Linked DNA regions of Saccharomyces cerevisiae S288C. Changing the gene in region 1 together with any one later gene gives a genetic interaction. Each region holds a gene or a part of one and is shown on either strand. Other genes may lie near its edges. The genes, in order: PAU5, YDL129W and YAR068W.

The links.
Region 2: mutations in PAU5 (region 1) and YDL129W together harm fitness more than expected from each alone (negative genetic interaction), as found in Saccharomyces cerevisiae (one large-scale study listed by BioGRID).
Region 3: mutations in PAU5 (region 1) and YAR068W together harm fitness less than expected from each alone (positive genetic interaction), as found in Saccharomyces cerevisiae (one large-scale study listed by BioGRID).

What each region holds. Positions count from the first base shown.
Region 1 is NC_001138.5:97,338-103,943, forward strand, and holds PAU5 (seripauperin PAU5), read right to left. Parts: upstream 2,263-6,606; coding exon 1,894-2,262; downstream 1-1,893. Other genes in the region: GAT1 (Gat1p), read left to right, coding at 1-161; YFL019C (uncharacterized protein), read right to left, coding at 2,915-3,268; LPD1 (dihydrolipoyl dehydrogenase), read right to left, coding at 4,291-5,790; mRNA splicing protein SMX2, read left to right, coding at 6,362-6,595.
Region 2 is NC_001136.10:226,433-233,833, reverse strand, and holds YDL129W (uncharacterized protein), read right to left. Parts: upstream 2,811-7,401; coding exon 1,935-2,810; downstream 1-1,934. Other genes in the region: VCX1 (Vcx1p), read right to left, coding at 1-1,182; ribosomal protein P1 RPP1B, read right to left, coding at 3,307-3,513, 3,815-3,928; STF1 (ATPase-binding protein), read right to left, coding at 4,403-4,663; homocitrate synthase LYS21, read right to left, coding at 5,119-6,441; cullin CDC53, read right to left, coding at 7,083-7,401.
Region 3 is NC_001133.9:219,076-225,797, forward strand, and holds YAR068W (uncharacterized protein), read left to right. Parts: upstream 1-3,330; coding exon 3,331-3,816; downstream 3,817-6,722. Other genes in the region: YAR064W (uncharacterized protein), read left to right, coding at 1,123-1,422; YAR066W (uncharacterized protein), read left to right, coding at 1,974-2,585; acid phosphatase PHO11, read left to right, coding at 6,385-6,722.

The DNA.
Region 1 (6,606 bases):
ACCTTCACAACGCCTCAACCTCCTCCTTCAACAATGAAGCCTTCTGGAAGCCTTTGGACTCCGCAATAGATCATCATTCTGGAGACACAAATCCAAACTCAAACATGAACACCACTCCAAATGGCAATCTGAGCCTGGATTGGTTGAATCTGAATTTATAGATCCCCCAAAAAAAAAAAAGTACTCGCTTCTTTCCATGTCCGCTTCATATATATATACACATACTAATCAAACTCTATGTATACATAGAATAAAAAGAAGAACACTATATTTATTTCATAAAAAAAAAAAAAAAATAACAAAAAAAGTGCAACATTTATCAAAAGCTCAGTGTGCGTTATGCTTCCATGTGACCCAACATCTATTGCGGCGGTGACAGAATAGTTGAAAGGCGCAGGGCTCACACACAGGAATGGCCCTCCCAAATTTAAAAGAGAACTAAACCAGTTATCCTAGGCAATTACTTTATTTGAGTCTTATATGACGTCACTAGAAGCTCAGTAAGAGCAACCGAGACCTGAACATCCTTTTTTTTTTGCTTCTTTATTTGGCAGCATTTTTCAAAAATAATAAAATGGAAGCCGCGAGTACGAACAATGATGTGTTCTGGGAATACCTCGTCAAAACAAGACAATGGCAAGGATTTTCTTTCATCAGGCAGAAAGATCTGGATCTGAATGGCATCATTTTGTGATGTGTAAAAGCGGGACCTTGTTATTTCGACTTTTTGCATCATGTTGATGCAATTTGCTACTTTTCCGACGGTGCGCTCCAACGGATGGGTATTTCCTTAATAACAAGGCATTTCTCTGGAAGTTGGCTTACTGTTTGAAATCACAGCCGGTCACAAAATAAAGTAAAAAAACTATCTCTCTCCACAAGAAGTAATTACAGGTTGTATACTACATATGATCGTATTTCTTTATGAACACTAAGGAGTTTCCCGCTGTGTACCGCAATATCCACACAAAAGGAAGGAAGAAACTTCTGTGGCTTGACAGATAAATAACTGCAGTAGTCGGTGCGTACTAATTGTTTGGTCGTGTCTGAAAAATCTTGAATTTTCAGAAAAGAATAAGCCCCAAATGTCAGTGATGGTAGTAGCAGTACTCCCCTACGATTTTAGATACTTTAGAGAGCCCACCTTCAGAATCGGAAGGAGGATAATTTTGTAAAGCCCTTCTGTTTTTTCTCTTGCATAACTTATATTTCCACATCAAAAAGTAGTGTGCTAAGAAAAAGGAGACGAGAAAAAGGATTACGGCACTCTCTGCATCTAGACATATACCAAAAGTTGGGTTTGCTCACGAAAATACCATAATTGTGGTGTCAAAAAAATCCTGCCTCATAATACCACTGCAGCAATTGTGGATGACTAAAAAATAACTTGCATTCCACGATGTTATTTTACTTTATAAAGCACCTGCAATTTTTTTTTTTGTATTAACTCATCGAGTATGTCTGATGTGTAAACTGAACCAGGCTTAATATCGTTTCTAATTCTTGTTGTGAGAAAACTTTCCTGCCTAGTGTATTTCGTCAGGGCGAACCTTCGGATAGGCACCGAACTCCGAGATTCTTGCTCCAATTTAAGAAATAAGCTTTTTCCGTCCCAATACAATAGAACATTATTAAAGTTAATAATAAAAATGGCACGGCACCAGTTGGAAGTTAAATCCCAACATTTGCTGCAAGAATAGAAAAGAAGTCATAACAAATTTGCATATTACTTACGGCTTCAAAAAAGCACCGAAACTAATCGAGAAAGCTTATAATATCGGTATACATTTGAATGTATTTTAACTATTTCTATATCAAAAAAAAAAAAAAAAATTGTATATTTTTCGTTATTCTCTAATTCGTATCACATTTTATCCCTAAGGGAATCTATCTCTAATTTGCAATAGTGTAGATACCGTCTGCGGATAGAGCGCTAGAGATAGCTGGCTTTAATCTGCTAGAGTACCATGGAACACCAGTGATAACTCTGGTAACTTGGTCGGCGGGAATACCAGTCAACATGGTGGTGAAATCACCGTAGTTGAAAACAGCTTCTGCAATTTCAACTGGATAAGTTTCAGTTGGGTGGGCAGCTTGGAAGGAGTAGTATTCAGCCAAATGAGCTCTGATATCGGAAACATAGACACCTAATTCAACCAAATTAACTCTTTCGTCAGATTGAGATAGTGTAGTGGTTGCTGCAGCGGAGGCACCAGCGGCAATGGCGGCGACACCAGCGGCGATTGAAGTTAATTTGACCATTGTATTTGTTGTTTTTTGGGTTGTTGCTTAGTGGAGATATAAGCTTAACTGGAAGGAAAAGAACAGAGAAATGTCTCAAACAAAGCTGATCAAACCGCTGTATTTATATAAATTTTTTGAGCAATTACATCCCAAACAGGCTATTACTGGTCACTCATTTTGCACTCATATCTCACATATTCTAATTCCTGGCCACTTAGCCATTATTACTATGGGGGTGTATTTTCCTTGAACGATGCTGCACTTCGTATAAGAAACACGCTTCATATTCCCCATATCTTCGTATGTTTAGAGCGCAAGAATGTTCCTTACAGTAAAGGTGCCTTTCGACCTGCAGACACAATGTTAGCCAAGTAATAGAAGCAAAGCCAATATTGTCTTGGCCTCGTTCAATTGCCTAACCCTTGGCACTAAACGGTTGCTAGGAGAAAAAACACGGACCTTTTCCCAAATTAGAAACACTAAAAAATGTTAATATGGTACTAGTCGTCGTACCCTGCTGAAATCATAAAAACCTTACGCCATCTGTGGGACTCGTCATAGGGTTTAGTGTATATTGAATGTTGGAAAATCTCTCGTTCTGATATGCCCAACAAACCAACAATGTACAATGTGAGGTTTCTACAAATCAACAACTATGGTTTCCCCTAATTCACTTGGATTGATTGGTTCTAGTGAAAACTTTACCTGTTACAAAGTTTTGAATCATTTTAATTAGATATCGTGTACCGAACAGTATCTGATTCGTATAAAAAAAGGAATATTGAAGGTCAGTTATCCTAGTGACAGGTGAAAAAAAATTGATATGTATGCCCTTTGTATTATCTTTGGGGTGGAAAGAAGTGAAAACAGAAGCAAATTGGTTTTGCAGTAAGTTTAGTCTTTTGACCTGTAACTGGTTAATTTCGAAATGACTGGTGGAGCCTGACTCGAATATAGAGCAAAGGGAGTCTTTAGTAGTATATCTTCTTACTTCGATGATATTTGAATAAAGTTCAACTATCATCTACCGATTAGTATTCATATTACTACTATATTATAATATGGGTGTGAGAATATGGCGTAACGTTTGAGAGATAGTCTCAGGTGTAGTGGAAGCTGAAATTCAGGGGAATGATGTTGTAATGGAATAATTAATGACAGGATATGAGATGGAAGGAAATTTAATTATATTATTACATAGAAATATCGATTTCCTTTTGTGAATTTCTATATCCTCGAGGAAACTTTCTGGTATACTTTGTATACTAAATTTTATAGCCTTTGACAACAACGAAATCCCAAAAAGTATTTCATAATTCATGTACTTACGAGAAGAAAAATCATTGCCCTGCTAGTGCTTCAAAAAATATAATTGGGAGCAACTAAAATCTCCTTGCAATGAGTTACAAGGAACAGATTCTTACCGGTAGTCCTGGTGAGCAAAAGACTTAACCATGTGGCAGCCGTTGTCTAATATCCACTAGCTATACACTTACATGGAATATTGGTTGCTGAAATAATTAGACTTAATGGTAGCAAACGTAGTGGTCATCCATATGAATATATGAGCAAGAAATAAACGTGAACATGTAAAATAGTAATACAGACACCATAATGTACAGGTTAATCCTGATATGTTTCTCGAATGAAATCGGGAAGACTAATAGGAGGCTCAATTCTATATTCACTCACGTTATGCGCCTGAATTTGAATGGATATTGTTGATAGAAGATTCCCTTTAATCACTCTCCTATATAAATATTTCTGTTTTTCTTATTAACGCAACAATAATTCGGGCGTGTGGTCTAGTGGTATGATTCTCGCTTTGGGCGACTTCCTGAATAAACAGGAAGACAAAGCATGCGAGAGGCCCTGGGTTCAATTCCCAGCTCGCCCCCTTTTTTTTGCATATCTGGTCATAATATCTTATCTGATCGACTAGTAGTTTCCTCATATATTAATTCCTTGTGCAATTTTTTTTTACTTACTCAATACTAAGCGGTTCTTCATAAATATATATACTATACTGTTTATTATTTCCTGTTTTCAACAATGAATAGCTTTATCATAGGCAGCCATGTTAGCTTCCTTAAATGCTTCGGACAAAGTAGGATGAGCATGGCAGACCCTAGCAACATCTTCTGCGGAAGCGCCATATTCTAAGGCTAAGCCAGCTTCAGCAATCATTTCACCGGCATTTGGACCGATAATGTGAGCCCCCAAAATACGCTCGGTCTTGGAATCGATCAAAATCTTCACGAAACCTTCAGTGTCTTGGTTGGTCTTGGCTCTTGAATTGGCCGCAAAGGGGAACTTACCAATTTTATAGTCAATGCCGGCTTCTTTCAATTGCTCTTCGGTTTTACCAACCCATGCTACTTCTGGGTGAGAATACATGACCGAAGGAATGTTGTTATAGTTGACATGACCGTGACCAGTTTTCAACATTTCGACAGCTGCAATACCTTCCTCTTCGGCTTTGTGAGCCAGCATTGGACCAAATGTAACATCTCCTACCACTTTAATGTGTGGGAACTTGGAATTAAATTGGTCATCAATGACTAGGCGTCCCCTTTTGTCTACTTCTAATCCAATCTTTTCAGCCCCTAAGCCAGCAATGTAAGGTCTTCTACCAACAGCAACCAGCAAAACTTCAGCTTCCAAATTTTCTTGCTTATTCGTTTTAGTATCTTCTACAACAATTTCGACGACGTTCTTGTCGTCGTTTCTCTTTGCAGAAATAACTTTGGTGCTTAATTTGAAGTCCAAACCTTGCTTTTTCAAGAACTTTTGGGTGGCTTTGGCAACCTCGCCGTCCATAGATGCACCAATTTGAGGTTGAAATTCTACTACAGTAACCTTGGAGCCTAATCTAGAGTAAACTGAACCCATTTCCAATCCGATGATTCCTCCACCAATGATGGTTAATCTTTTGGGAATTTCCTTTAACGAAAGAGCACCTGTTGAAGAGACAATTTTTTCCTCATCTATTTCAATACCGGGGAAGGGTGTAACTTCAGAGCCCGTGGCGACTATGATGTTCTTAACATCTAGTATGTGGTCTTCCTTGACAGTGCCTTCCAACCCATCAACGGGAGTTACTCTGATCTTCGTTTCGTCTTCGAATGAACCATTACCTTTATAATAGGTGACCTTATTTTTCTTGAACAGAAGCTCAATACCTCCAGTTAATTGCTTAACAGCGTCATCCTTAGCCTTTTGGAAGTTTGCTACGTTAATTTTGATATCACCGTTGACGTCAATACCTCTCTTTTGCGCTTCCGTATGCATTTGGTGGAATAAATGAGAATTATTTAGAAGTGCTTTGGAGGGGATACATCCAACGTTAAGACAGGTACCGCCTAATTTGCCTCTTTTTTCTACACATGCAGTGTTAAATCCCAATTGAGCAGCTTTGATAGCAGCCACGTAACCAGCAGGGCCACCACCGATGATGACTACATCATGTGACTTGTTAATGGTCAATGTCCTGACTGTGGACGAAAAGGCACGCTTATTATTTAGGAGTGATCTGATTCTTAACATTGTGAACTGTTAGTATGTTCTTTGATGGTACGACAGAGACAATCGAACAAAACCGTATATATATAAATATACGTTATATGTATATATATATCTATATATATTCGAGGTGAGTCAAAGGGTACGAATTATCATCAAATTGTTTATTAGCATTATAATACACTAAGTTTCCATTAAGTTGCTCCGCGGAGACTTCTCGCCAATGAGGGAACAGCCGTTCGAGATGATAAAGTATTCTAAAAACGAGTCATCATTAAAAACGATTCACGTGATATTCACGTGCATAAACCATTAGTAAGTATATATTTTTAGTGGGATATATGAGGGTACATTGCATCATGACTATTCGTGGTAGTCACGCATACGTTTGTCAGTGGCATTGTTCGAGTATTCCTCTGTTCTTCATTTCCCTTTTTTCCTATAGCCTCGCCTACGCTCTTTCACGTTTGTGCTGATAGAAACAATGTGGTAAGAAAAATTAAATCTCTAAAGGTGCAATGAATGTATAAGAAAGTACAACGCATATAGAGTATCCGGCATAGGACAGGATTACGCAAACACACGCACAGATACAATGGTTTCTACCCCTGAACTGAAGAAATATATGGACAAGAAGATATTGCTGAATATAAATGGATCTAGGAAAGTGGCAGGAATTTTGCGAGGCTACGATATTTTCTTAAACGTCGTTCTTGATGATGCAATGGAGATAAATGGTGAAGACCCTGCCAATAACCACCAGCTAGGCTTGCAGACCGTCATTAGGGGCAACTCCATAATATCCCTAGAGGCTCTAGATGCCATATAAAATTATATATA
Region 2 (7,401 bases), on another chromosome or scaffold:
TGCCATTGCAATCAAAATATACATAGCTAGAGACATGACACCCTCCAACCAGTTTGACTCACCATCGAGAATTAAGTAATTGGATAAGAAAACAGCAATAAAAAGAGTAGCGGTTTCAAAAGTGGAGAAATTTAGCGTCATTGGAACATCGATCATCCAGCCCACAAGAACCATGAATGGTGTAACAAATAAGGCAACTTGTAAAGAGGAACCGATGGCAACACCTAGCGCCAGATCCATCTTATCCTTCATGGCCACCAAGACTGAAGTGACATGCTCTGCGGCATTACCCACAATAGGAATGACAATCAAACCTATAAATGTTTTAGATAGCCCGGTAGATTCAACAACGTTGTCTATCGTACCGACTAGAAAATCCGCACAAAAAGAGATGATCACAGTTGTACCTAGAAGTATCACCAATGATGACTTGACACTCAAAGAGTGATGTGGATTCCTGGAAATGGTGCTCATAACTTCATCGGTCTCTTCTTCTTGTTGCTCAAACAAGGCGTGATGGCTCCCTAGCTGGAAATATAAGAACAAAACGTAAACGATGAGAATAACAATAGAGGTGCCTCTGGATAACTCCAATATTTTTCCATCGATGAAGTGGTCTTCCTTGCCATGAGGTAGGGTGGCTCTAAAGGCAGCGGGAATCAGTAGGGATGCACACGCAATGGCAAGTAATGAGGACATTGTTTGAGCGGCGGTTTGGTTGAATGTCTGTTGGACTCTATTGTATCCACCGAATATGAAGCATAATCCAAGCACTAACAGCAAATTAGAAAGAAGACTACCTAGCATCGAGGCCTGCACAATTCTCACTTGACCTTTTTTCAGGGCAATGATAGAAACAATTAGTTCCACAGCGTTACCAAAAGTAGCATTTAGCAGTCCCCCAATGGTGTTACCAGCCTTATCAGCCAACTCTTCCGTGGCATTAGCCAAGATAGCTGCCAACGGTATAATTGCCAAGAAATTAAAAAGAAATGTCAGTGTATGAGATAGTTGGAAGTGTCCCCAAATCAGACCTAAAGGAACAAATACCAATAGGAAATTCAGGGGTGACGCTTTCAAAATATACTGTAAATCATACACAGCTGCTCTCCATGCAGTGTGCTTTGGATTGCGGGCGGGATGACTGTTCGCAACAGTTAATAGTGGGGTAGTTGCATCCATTGTATCTATGTTGTTTTATTTGCTATCAGCAGCCGATGAATGATATGCGTCGAAGTCAACTATATATTTAGGACTGCTTTTTAAGTTTAGGAAAGAGGAAACTTCTTTTACTCTCTGAGGAGATAAAATAATGCTGGGCGATAGTAATTTCCATATTCTCGTGAGGGAAATTTTTATTTTTCGGGAATTTTGATCAAGCCGTCCAGTCCAGTTTACGAAAAAGGAACTACGTCAATTAGTTTACAAAACATTCCCGATTACGTATGTCATATTCATCGAAGTTCGTAAGTGAGGATGACAAGGGATTAACGTCGTAAGGAAAACAATCTAATTGAAAAAAAAAAACTATTAGATAAGTATATATAACATTAAATTAGAACTTAAATACTACAATATTGTTCTCTTGGCAAAAAACAAGAAGGAAAATAATTGTCCCTCTCCAAACTGATAGCTTCCATTGAGTTCAATAGGAGAAAAAAAAATCCAATTTTTTCACACTTTCGGAAAATTTCCCTTTTAAGTTGTACTAAAATTACAGACAGTTGGAGGCATTAGATTAAAGGTGTATGATAGAGGTTAAAAGTAAACATAAATTCGTAACTGAAGAATTGAAGGAGATATTTCTCTTTGGAGAATTTTAAAAGAGTAAACCAGAAATAAAGAGAATAGAATATTATTAGAGAATAAATGATGTGTTTGGTCCCATGAGAAAGAAAAATTATTGACGTTCAATAATATTTTTTTCTAGCATACTATTTTTTTCGTGATTTAGGTTCTTTTTTCTCCAAATGAAAAACTCTCACATATTCGTTTGTTGCTGGATTGTCACTCCTTCTTCTCATCCTTGGATGCGGTTTATTGTTCTCTACTAATTCCAATGTGTCAATTTTGGTATCTTCCTCAACTTTATCAGTACCCGTTGGGACTTTTTGGGGAGAAAGATTCAAAGACGGCCGGGAAGCAGGAAGAGGAAGTTTTGGAACTTTGGTTTTCCATGAGTTCGGCGATACACCTCCATATCCTCCTTCTAGCCTAGCGCCAGTGGATAATGGTCTTTGCGCTAGTCCTGGCAATGACAGTTTACGCTTTAAAGGTCGTTCAAGAAGTGGTCTCAACTCTGCGGAACTTGCACTTTCGTTGGTTTTTGGGGTCTTGTTTTTTAAAAATTCTACCTCTTTTTTCAACAAGTTTGTCTCAACTGCATACCTTCCCTCTGAGGTGGCCCTTAACTCCGATAGCTGGGCCTGTAACTTCCAGTGAGATGTGGATGCTAAAGACCTGTTAAGCACACTTAATATGAGATCTTTCTCACTAACTAACGTTTCATCATCCCCTTCCTTTATCCTCTGTATGAGATTGAGAATTGTGTTTTCTAGTTCTCTGGTGTTTTTCAAAGATGGCATGAAGTGACTAGTAAAATTGTAGTATTCATTGTCATCAACTTTCTTCGATGAATCTGTAGTAGCGGTATCAGAGTAAGCGGGACTAAATACACTTGTGTTCTCGCTCTTTGCTTCCCTCGTGCCGACCCTCTCATTGGATTCTATGCTCCGTTCACTCTTATTCTTGGCAGGTTCCTCAGGCGTGACAAGATAGGCCTCTGCGCTCCGTCTACTTCTTAGCTCCATAGCCAACAAAATGTTAAATTCCTGTATGCCGTAGCCTTGCCCGCGTTTCGTATCAAAAGGGATGAGAAACTAAAGTGCTCAAATTTTATACGTTTCTAGTGCCTTATAGGTGTATTGCTAAGCCTGTAAGGACCGACGTATGTCCAACTTAGGGAGCTTTACATGTGTCAAAGAACCTTTCATTCCCGATGAGTAAAAATTTTAAAAATGTGCGCGGGAGAAGCTTCGGTCGGCGTCGCCATCAAAGGGCGAGCAACCATGGGTTTATGTAATTTTTGGTTGCTATGGTGACGACAGGTCTGATATCCCGCAACCAGGGGCTATCCCGCAGTGCCATTTCTAGCAAAGAACGAGATGGTTAAATTCTCGTAGCCCTTTCGTATGGACATTACTTCCGATTTTTAAATACTGATTGATTAGAGGTTTATTTTATATGTAAATATATATACATAAAGGGTAAAAAAACGTTGCAGAAAAAATGACTTTCCTTGTATGTTTAGTCGAATAAACCGAAACCCATGTCGTCGTCAGATTCTTCAGCAGCTTCTTCTTCTTTTTCTTCTTCAGCAGCAGCGTCACCACCAGCAGCGGCAGCGCCAGAAGCAGCACCAGCACCAGCAACAGGGCCAGCGTTATGGAAACCAGATAGGATTTCCTTCAAGTCCTTACCTTCCAAAGCCTTAGCGTAAACATCAGCCCAGACCTAATTCAATGATACATATAACAAGCTCCATAGGAAGAGTCGTTATTCGTTGAGTTTGTTAGTAAAATGAGATCCTTGAAGAAGTAATTCGATCCTGACTTGTGCTTTCCGTTAAATACGTTAATGGAGAAATATTTCTACATGTATTGCCCCCTAGTATCTCATCATGTTAGAGGGAAACGTTACATGGAATTTTTCTGTCCCCCATTATTCAAAATTGCGCATTTCTCGGGACGATTGTTGTCTAATCTTTCTCTTCGTAGTCACACAAAGTCGTTTTAGGTTGCATTTTTGTACATACGTTGTCGACATTAGCACCAGCGGCCTTGGTGATAGTCAATAAGTTGTCAGAGGTGATTTCCAAACCAGCATCAGCTAGGATGAAAGCAGCAAAGGAAATAATAGAGTCAGACATTTTCTTCTTAGTTGTTTGATTTCTTTGTTAGTCCAAGATTAACTGAAACTGCAATTCGTAATTTAACCTTGAAATATCACGAAGGGGCTTACAGATTCAACATCAAATGCTTATTTGGTATTACATTGGAAACTAGTTTTAGCAACCGTTAGCCGGAAGTTTCAATTCTAAGATTTCTCCTTCGCGCGACACGCAGAAATGAAAATTTTATTTTTTTTTGCGTTTCATATAATCCTTCTGATGTACGGATGTTTTGTGTAAGATATGTATGGGTTTAAAGGAATATCTGAGGAGCAAACTGAGGCGACGTTTCTCTAACTGACGGTGTTCCTGTATTCGTGACGTATATACTATATATAATGTGCAGGCTTATAAAATACCACTGATGTTCATTTCCTAATTTTGATTTGGCATGATTGCTTCTTTCTACGTACAAAACGTGTCTGCAGAACCTTTAGCCTTAACAATGACCAATCACTTTGAAAGGTTATTAATTTTGTTTTCTAAATTCTCTAATTTTTTCTTGTGTTCTTTTAGTTGTTCCTTCACATGTGCTAATTGTTCCCTCTCTTGTTGTCTGGCATAATAATCCTCTTTGGCACGTTCTCTCTTGATAAAGATATCTTGAGGATTACCAGGTCCGGCACCACCGAGAGGACCATCTGAATAAAAGCGAGAGGCAATTCTTAGGTTTACTGGCAGCCTGGTATTACGGGAAATGCAACGGTTTAACATATTGATAGCGTGTTTGGTTGGATGACTGGGTGAAAGTGCTTCTTAATATCTACAATGGAGAGCTCAATTTTCTTATGAACGACTGAACTAAATATAATAAATAATTCCCCAGCCGCCCCCTAAAAGATAATAATGATGCTTGAAATAGTTAGCAAATAGAAACCGATCATTTGACGTATATAGTGATCATTATCATAACGGAAATACTCCGTGAGAGTATAATAGCGTGGGGAATCGCACAGAGTCAATATTCATTGATCTCAATTAATTGATTAAAATACCCCGTCTTCAAGCTAGATGCAACCGCCTCAATTGAACATCGGAGTAGGAGAAAAAGCTTATTGAATAAAGTTGACGTAAATAGTAATTTTATTACGGTAATCGCCAGTACTTAAACACCTAATAACGCCCAGTATGTGTATGTTTGAAATATGTGTACTATATATATAATGAAACTATTTGGTGACCTTTGCCTTTTTAGAAACATGCCCATTGGAAATATCGATATTGTCGTCATCTGTACCCTTATTTACTGGTTTTAAAAGTGGGGTGCTCAATTCTGCATGGAAGTCCTTGATAATGGAGTCTACATCATCAATATTTAGCGGTCTGACATCACCCAGCTTCTTAATCTTAGCAGTAACTTCCTTGATTTGATCATCCGTCAAATTCAAGTTCAATTGGTCGACTCTTGATTTGATTGCATTCCAACCAGTTAGTCTGTTGGCGAAGTGGATATATCTCTTCATACCGAAATCGTGAGGGTCCAAGATTTCGTAGGTAGATGGGTTAGCCAAAATGGCCTTGGCATGGATACCTGCTTTATGTGTGAATGCACAGAACCCGGTGATAGGGTTGTTGAATGGAATGTTAACTTCCACAGCATCAGCGACCAGGTTTTCGATGTCTCTGATCTTGTGCAGCTTGTATTTAGATCTGACATAGTCTGGTGCGGCAACAATCATTCTTGCCATGAGCCCACCTAGAGGAGTGATACCGTTTCTTTCACCAATACCCAGTACACTGACGTCAATCAATCTGGCACCACCTTCCAAAGCAGTGTAGGCGTTTGCAATGGCACAACCGGTATCATTGTGGAAATGGCATTCGATGTCACATGAGACAACACTCTTCAAAGTTCTGATCAGTTCATATACTTGTCTTGGGTTGGCACATCCAACTGTGTCGGCAATACCGACTCTATTTACACCGATCTTGTCAACGGTTTTATAAATGTTCAAAAGATCAACGAGATCACTTCTGAAGGAATCTTCAGAGGAAAATCTGATTTCAATACCTTTGGATTTGACAAATTCAATGACTTCAACAGCACTCTTGGCGATGTAGTTCATATCCTTACCGTGGGAATATTGTCTTAAAAATTTGGAGGTGCCGATAACAACATCGACACCGTCGACACCAGTCTCTACGGCGACTCTGGCATCGTCCATGTGACAACGAATGTGTGTAAGGATCTTGGCCTTTAAACCTAGTTTACATATAGCTTCACAGTCCTTTCTTGATTGTTCGGATGCTACGGGAGAGGTTAACTCGATGTAGTCCACACCGAAATCATCCAAGGCTCTAGCAATTTCAATCTTTTTTTCAGTATCGAAGAATGCGTTGGCAAATTGTTCACCCTCTCTTAGTGTTGAATCAATCAACTGGAAATTCTTAACATTGGATAGATAATCCGCAGGATTTGGGCCATATGGGTTACTAGTGGTTGGAGCAGTCGTCGATTCGGTGACACTCTGGAATTCGTTATTTTCAGACATGGTTTGTTAAAGTATACAATTACTTGGGTTGTCGTTGCACTTTTAAATGTGTAGCAAATAAAGGCCTAAACGCAACAAGAAGAAAGATAAATTTTGAAATCTGTTGCATATATATATTAGTATATAAGAGACTGCATGAAAATGCGAACAAACGCATGCTCAACACCACTCATGCGCAATATCGTAGAATCACACACAACGAGAACGATCAGCTTGGCATCTTTGCAAAGTGACTAATTTTCGCTGTTCCACCACTATCGCACATTGCGCGACGTGATTTCTACGCGGATTTCTTGGAGCTGGTAGCTGCTGGTGACGATTTCCAGCGGAATTTCAACTCTGCCACTGACTGATCCTTGTTGTCAGTCTCATCATTTCAGCCTGATCTCTTCTCAAGCAGGCCGAAAAGCCGCCCGGTAAAGGATGTTACAACGGAAAGAGAAGTGCCATATCTTCATACTATGAGATTCTCAAGAGGTCAAAGACTCTTCATAGTTCAGTTGAATACACACAATTACACACACACACATATATATATATACATATATATATATATATATATATATATATATATATGTATACGCTTATGTATTTACTCGTAGGATTTGCTTCGTTCGATCAGCACAAGCCTTCAAAGATGATTAAGCAAGGTAAGCATACGATTCACCATCGTCTCCCCTCTGTAGGTATCCCTTTTGTATTAAGCTATCGATGGCTCTCTTGACCATAGAAACCTTTGCATTGAACCTTTGGTGTGATTGCGCAATGCATTCGTTGACCAATGTTGTATGTGGCAGATTTCTTTTCGCTTTCATTATTCTCACAATACAAGCTTCCAAGAAAATCTGCCTTTCTGTATTCAATTCTTTTTCTATTCTTTCGTCTTCCGTCAAGCGTTTGTTTCCTAACTTATTACCGTGATTATCGTGGCCTCCACCGGATAGCGATTGCAGAATGTCG
Region 3 (6,722 bases), on another chromosome or scaffold:
AACCACTGCCACCTCATCCAGTTTGTCATCATCTTCTTCAGAACAAATCACCAGCTCTATCACGTCTTAGCATCCAATTATTACTCCATTCTATCGCAGCAATGGAACTTCTGTAGTTTCTTCCTCAGTCATGTCTTCCTCGGTCATTTCTTCTTCTGCAACGACCTCCACTTCTATATTCTCTGAATCATCTAAATCATCCGTCATTCAAACCAGTAGTTCCACCTCTGGTTCTTCTGAGAGCGAAACAATCTTAGTGATTGCTGGCATGTCATTAGCGACAAGACGCTTATTACCGTAGTAGCCCCCCAAGGCAAACATCTCTTTATCAGTAATATCCAAAGCTGTTCAACTTCTCGAATTGGCCCAGGAAAAGAGCATTGGGGCGGCAACTAACTCTGGCATACTTACAGTTTCTGCTCTTGACAGCGCTAAAAAAGGGCTTGTTTTGTAATGCCCGGTTCGCAATTCTACAAGTACCACGCACTAGCTGCTAAAAGTGTCTAACCTTGCGAACAAATCTGGACTTTCTTATGAGAATCCCATCGTCAAGAAACAAAATTATACAGACAGGCGTAAATGTAGCTCGTAAGCGCCTGATCAAGTAAGCCAAATGCGCTAACTTGAGGAAATATAGCCATCTAAATCTCTGCAACATGCCAATTCGCACGTGACTTGAAACTATGGAAAGTGTCTAGAAGATTACCAAGAACCACGTTATTTGAGAGAGGATGGCAAGGTGACGACAATCACACCAAGACCACATTTTGGGTGCGCCTGGAAGCAAGACCTGAGAAACTGGGCCAAAATATTCAAACCAAGCATAAGATAGTTGGAGGTAGGAATACACTATCTAATCTGTGCTGATGAAATGCTGGCGAAAACGGGCGATGTAGTGGTACAGAAGGTGCCGGTTATCCGTTTGTCCGTTTTTCTTCATTTTTTTTTTGTTTTTCCCTTTTGTCTTTTGCACCGCTTATATATGGGTATGAAACAAGTTCAAGAATTTATAATGGAACCCAAAGGTTCAGTCTTTGTAGTTCGAGCGACATTGCGCGTTTCCTTAGAAAACGCTGGAAAGATATTCTTTAACGAGACGGAGTAATTCTCGTCAGGAATAGGATGTTGATTGATTTTTGCTGTAGTTATATAGCAGGGACCCACGGAAGAGAGCGAGCGCCTTCTTTCACAGGGACTTTTGTCAGCCACGTCTCCGGGGAAAACAATTGCCGTCCGCGTCGCAGTGAGATTACGCAGCCGTGCGCTTCAGGGACAGAAAAGAAGCATTTCGCGGCTACGGAGAAACCGTGCACTAACTCTCTCGAGGGTAGCCGCAAAGATTTCTTGTCTCTTCCATTAGGACATAGCTATCTTTTTCTTTTCTGTTTTTGGCGTATGATCTGTTCTGAGCCAAAGTTATAGATCATTGCTTGAATAAGCACCTCACAGAGTAGGGATTGTATAGAAAGTAGCTGAGCGTCTGCCCACGTAACAAACAATCTTGCCCCTTCCCCGCTCTTGTTTTCGCGTGCCTCTTCTACAATAATCTGGCCAGGCTGAATCGCGTTCTGCTGCTGCTGCTGCTATTGTTATTGTTGTTGTTGTTGTTTTGGCCAATTGCTTATGTGTTGGTCTGCAAATTAGCACCTCGTTCCCTGTTGGCAAACGCGCGCGTACAAGCCTTACAGGGCTTGAGAATGTTCTTCGTAGAAATGCATGCACAAAAATTCTGATCTAGCACACCATCGGTCTCTGTAGCTTCGGGCTCTATAGCTATGGGTTAGGAGTCCGTGAGTAGTAACAAGAAGAAGTATATAAAAAGCAGGTAAATCGTACTTCAATATGCTTCATTGTCACTGGATCGTCATATTCACTCTTGTTCTCATAATAGCAGTCCAAGTTTTCATCTTTGCAAGCTTTACTATTTCTTTCTTTTTATTGGTAAACTCTCGCCCATTACAAAAAAAAAAGAGATGTTCAATCGTTTTAACAAATTCCAAGCTGCTGTCGCTTTGGCCCTACTCTCTCGCGGCGCTCTCGGTGACTCTTACACCAATAGCACCTCCTCCGCAGACTTGAGTTCTATCACTTCCGTCTCGTCAGCTAGTGCAAGTGCCACCGCTTCCGACTCACTTTCTTCCAGTGACGGTACCGTTTATTTGCCATCCACAACAATTAGCGGTGATCTCACAGTTACTGGTAAAGTAATTGCAACCGAGGCCGTGGAAGTCGCTGCCGGTGGTAAGTTGACTTTACTTGACGGTGAAAAATACGTCTTCTCATCTGATCTAAAAGTTCACGGTGATTTGGTTGTCGAAAAGTCTGAAGCAAGCTACGAAGGTACCGCGTTCGACGTTTCTGGTGAGACTTTTGAAGTTTCCGGTAACTTCAGTGCTGAAGAAACTGGCGCTGTCTCCGCATCTATCTATTCATTCACACCTAGCTCGTTCAAGAGCAGCGGTGACATTTCTTTGAGTTTGTCAAAGGCCAAGAAGGGTGAAGTCACCTTTTCTCCATACTCTAACGCTGGTACCTTTTCTTTGTCAAATGCTATTCTCAACGGTGGTTCTGTTTCCGGTTTGTAACGTAGAGACGACGATGAAGGCTCTGTAAATAACGGTGAAATCAACCTAGACAATGGAAGTACCTATGTTATCGTTGAACCAGTTTCTGGAAACGGTACAATCAACATCGTCTCTGGTAACCTATACTTGCACTACCCTGACACCTTTACTGGCCAAACTGTTGTATTCAAGGGTGAAGGTGTTCTTGCCGTTGACCCAACCGAAACCAACGCCACTCCTATTCCTGTTGTTGGCTACACCGGTAAGAACCAAATTGCCATTACCGCCGACATCACTGCTCTTTCTTACGACGGTACTACTGGTGTCTTAACTGCAACCCAAGGTAACAGACAATTCTCTTTTGAAATTGGTACTGGATTCTCTAGTTCTGGCTTCAGTGTCTCCGAAGGAATCTTCGCAGGCGCCTACTCATATTACCTAAACTATGACGGTGTCATCGCTACAAGCGCCGCATCCACATCCGCATCCACTACCTCTGGTGTTGTCTCTACTGCCACTGGTTCAGTCACTTTATCCTCTAACGCTTCTACCACCGTCTCTTCTACGATCTCTTCTAGCGCCCCAGACTCAATAATTCCTTCATCTAGCGCCTCTATCTCTGGTGTCTCAAACTCCACTACAGCATCTGGTTCAATCGCTTCTACTGCTTCCACCGCTTCCACTACTTCTACTGCATCCGCTGCATCCGCCACCAGCTTCACCTCAGGTTCCGCTTCTGTCTACACTACTACATTAACTTACTTGAATGCCACAAGTACAGTCGTGGTTTCCTGTTCAGAAACAACCGACGCTAGCGGTAACATTTACACCATTACCACAACTGTCCCATGCTCATCTACCACTGCCACCATCACATCTTGTGACGAAAACGGATGCCATGTTCCAGCACCAACTGCTACCGACGCAACTGCAACCGTTTCCTCCAAGTCATACACCACTGTTACTGTTACTCACTGTGACAACAATGGCTGTAACACCAAGACTGTCACTTCTGAATGTTCTAAAGAAACTGCAGCAACCACCATTTCTCCAAAATCATACACTACTGTTACCGTTACTCACTGTGACGACAACGGCTGTAACACCAAGACTGTCACTTCCGAGGCTTCCAAACAAACATCATTGGCCACTAGCACAGTCACCAAGTCTGCTGCTCCAACTTCTCATACTGCTGCTTCCAGCACCTTCACTGGTATTGTCGTTCAATCCGAAGGTATGGCTGCTGGTTTGAGAACCAATGCTTTAAGTACTTTGGCAGGTATTTTCATCCTTGCTTTTTTTTAAAATGAGTGCGTAACCGTACTTTCCTAAAAATAACTAAGTAGAAAGTATTTTAATATATAAACGTCAGTGTAAACATTCAAGTGATTTTAACTTTACGCGGTTGAAGAATGCTGTGTTCGAACTATAAAGCGTCAGAAAAGATGGTTTAGCGAAGGCACCATTATGAAGATAGACACATTCTTCTTTTTTTTTTTTTTTTTTTTTTTTTTTTTTTTTTTTCATTTACTTTTATTTCGCGCGGTCGGTAAATTTTTCGTGGGTTTCTTTGAATCTATTAGCCGACATAAGAATAATGCATAAATAATATTTTTAATGTCTTCCTATGCCCAAAAGAAGAAGTCTTGAAGTTGCCGCACATGGAAATCACATGACCATGGCTTGGCCCTTCGTTTTAAATGCAACATGCAATATGGAATGTGTCATGAATACTATCAGCAGGAACAGAAAGCGTCGTTTTGTTTCTGCAAATGCTGTAGTTTTGGGCCGAAAATAGATGTAGTAGAATATATAGTGAAACGTGATGTACAAAAGAAAAAGGTAGTTTAAAAAAAATTAGATAACTTGGATTTTTACCCTGAATATTGCATGTGATTCGTAAAGAACTGAGTTACCTCAAACGGACCTCCCTTTTCATTTCGTATTCCGCGAATCATGAAGTCATGCAATTACCTCTGAAGAGCTGACTGTCCCAAAAGAAGCTATCGAATCTGTCCTTGATTTATTTAAGCCTTGCGTTTCGAGAAAGTGAAAACCAATTGAATACAAAATAAAAAAAAAGAAGAAAGAAATAGCAGGTCTAAGATATATAAGAAAGTTAATATCATTTTTGAACATTTTATTTTAGACGCCTTCAGCCGCGCGACGCCCGGAGTAATCATATGCCCATGACTTTACCAAAAGGCAACAGGGAGGAACATGCATTAATGTGAAGCATCACTGCTGCAATTCTCGGTGTTGCTAATAATTCATGGATCGAGAAAGAGACATAACATTTAGGCCAATTTTTTGAATAAATATGAACTCAGCTAAGACTCGACAATACAATTTTCTTATACTAAACGTAGATTTATAAAATAAACACAACTGTAAGGGCAATGCAACCGTAGATGCATATATCATTTATAGAAATTATATCCAACAGAAAGCTCAGACTTATATCCGGTTTAAGAGAGAAATTCTTGCTCATATTACCCCAAGACCAGGTGGCGTGTTGAAGTTTATAACATATAAGAACTACTACCTCATGAATTCTAGTGGATGAAAGAAGCAGCACGAACACCATTTCTACAGACAACGACACATGGAAAGGTTCACCATTCCCAAAGAAAACAACGATGGCCACAAGGGTGTGGTCCTCCATTCTCCTACTGTTGGAAGGAGATATTATCCGACCGACTGTTTTGTGATATGGCAAACTATTTTTTTAAATGAGCAAAATTACTTCTTTTGGCTGGAAATGTCATTAGAAAGTGCCCAAGTGACATTTAGCTAAACTCGGGTATTGTCTACAAGACCGGTGCTGTGACCGTTTCCAATACGGAAAGAAACGGTACTGGGAGCAGGAGTTGCTTTTACAGATATGAACAATGCCAATAGAGCCGCACATGTAATTACTGGTTCACACTCGTGGGGCCCACACGATTCCTGTGCAAAGTTTGACAAGAGGATGGAGTTTCACGTAAATGCTGCCAAAGGTGATGCGGTTTTGTTTTTGGGCAGCCTCTACCATGTTGCAAGTGCGAACCATACTGTGGCCACATAGATTACAAAAAAAGTCCAGGATATCTTGCAAACCTAGCTTGTTTTGTAAACGACATTGAAAAAAGCGTATTAAGGTGAAACAATCAAGATTATCTATGCCGATGAAAAATGAAAGGTATGATTTCTGCCACAAATATATAGTAGTTATTTTATACATCAAGATGAGAAAATAAAGGGATTTTTTCGTTCTTTTATCATTTTCTCTTTCTCACTTCCGACTACTTCTTATATCTACTTTCATCGTTTCATTCATCGTGGGTGTCTAATAAAGTTTTAATGACAGAGATAACCTTGATAAGCTTTTTCTTATACGCTGTGTCACGTATTTATTAAATTACCACGTTTTCGCATAACATTCTGTAGTTCATGTGTACTAAAAAAAAAAAAAAAAAAGAAATAGGAAGGAAAGAGTAAAAAGTTAATAGAAAACAGAACACATCCCTAAACGAAGCCGCACAATCTTGGCGTTCACACGTGGGTTTAAAAAGGCAAATTACACAGAATTTCAGACCCTGTTTACCGGAGAGATTCCATATTCCGCACGTCACATTGCCAAATTGGTCATCTCACCAGATATGTTATACCCGTTTTGGAATGAGCATAAACAGCGTCGAATTGCCAAGTAAAACGTATATAAGCTCTTACATTTCGATAGATTCAAGCTCAGTTTCGCCTTGGTTGTAAAGTAGGAAGAAGAAGAAGAAGAAGAGGAACAACAACAGCAAAGAGAGCAAGAACATCATCAGAAATACCAATGTTGAAGTCAGCCGTTTATTCAATTTTAGCCGCTTCTTTGGTTAATGCAGGTACCATACCCCTCGGAAAGTTATCTGACATTGACAAAATCGGAACTCAAACGGAAATTTTCCCATTTTTGGGTGGTTCTGGGCCATACTACTCTTTCCCTGGTGATTATGGTATTTCTCGTGATTTGCCGGAAAGTTGTGAAATGAAGCAAGTGCAAATGGTTGGTAGACACGGTGAAAGATACCCCACTGTCAGCAAAGCCAAAAGTATCATGACAACATGGTACAAATTGAGTAACTATACCGGTCAATTCAGCGGAGCATTGTCTTTCTTGAACGATGACTA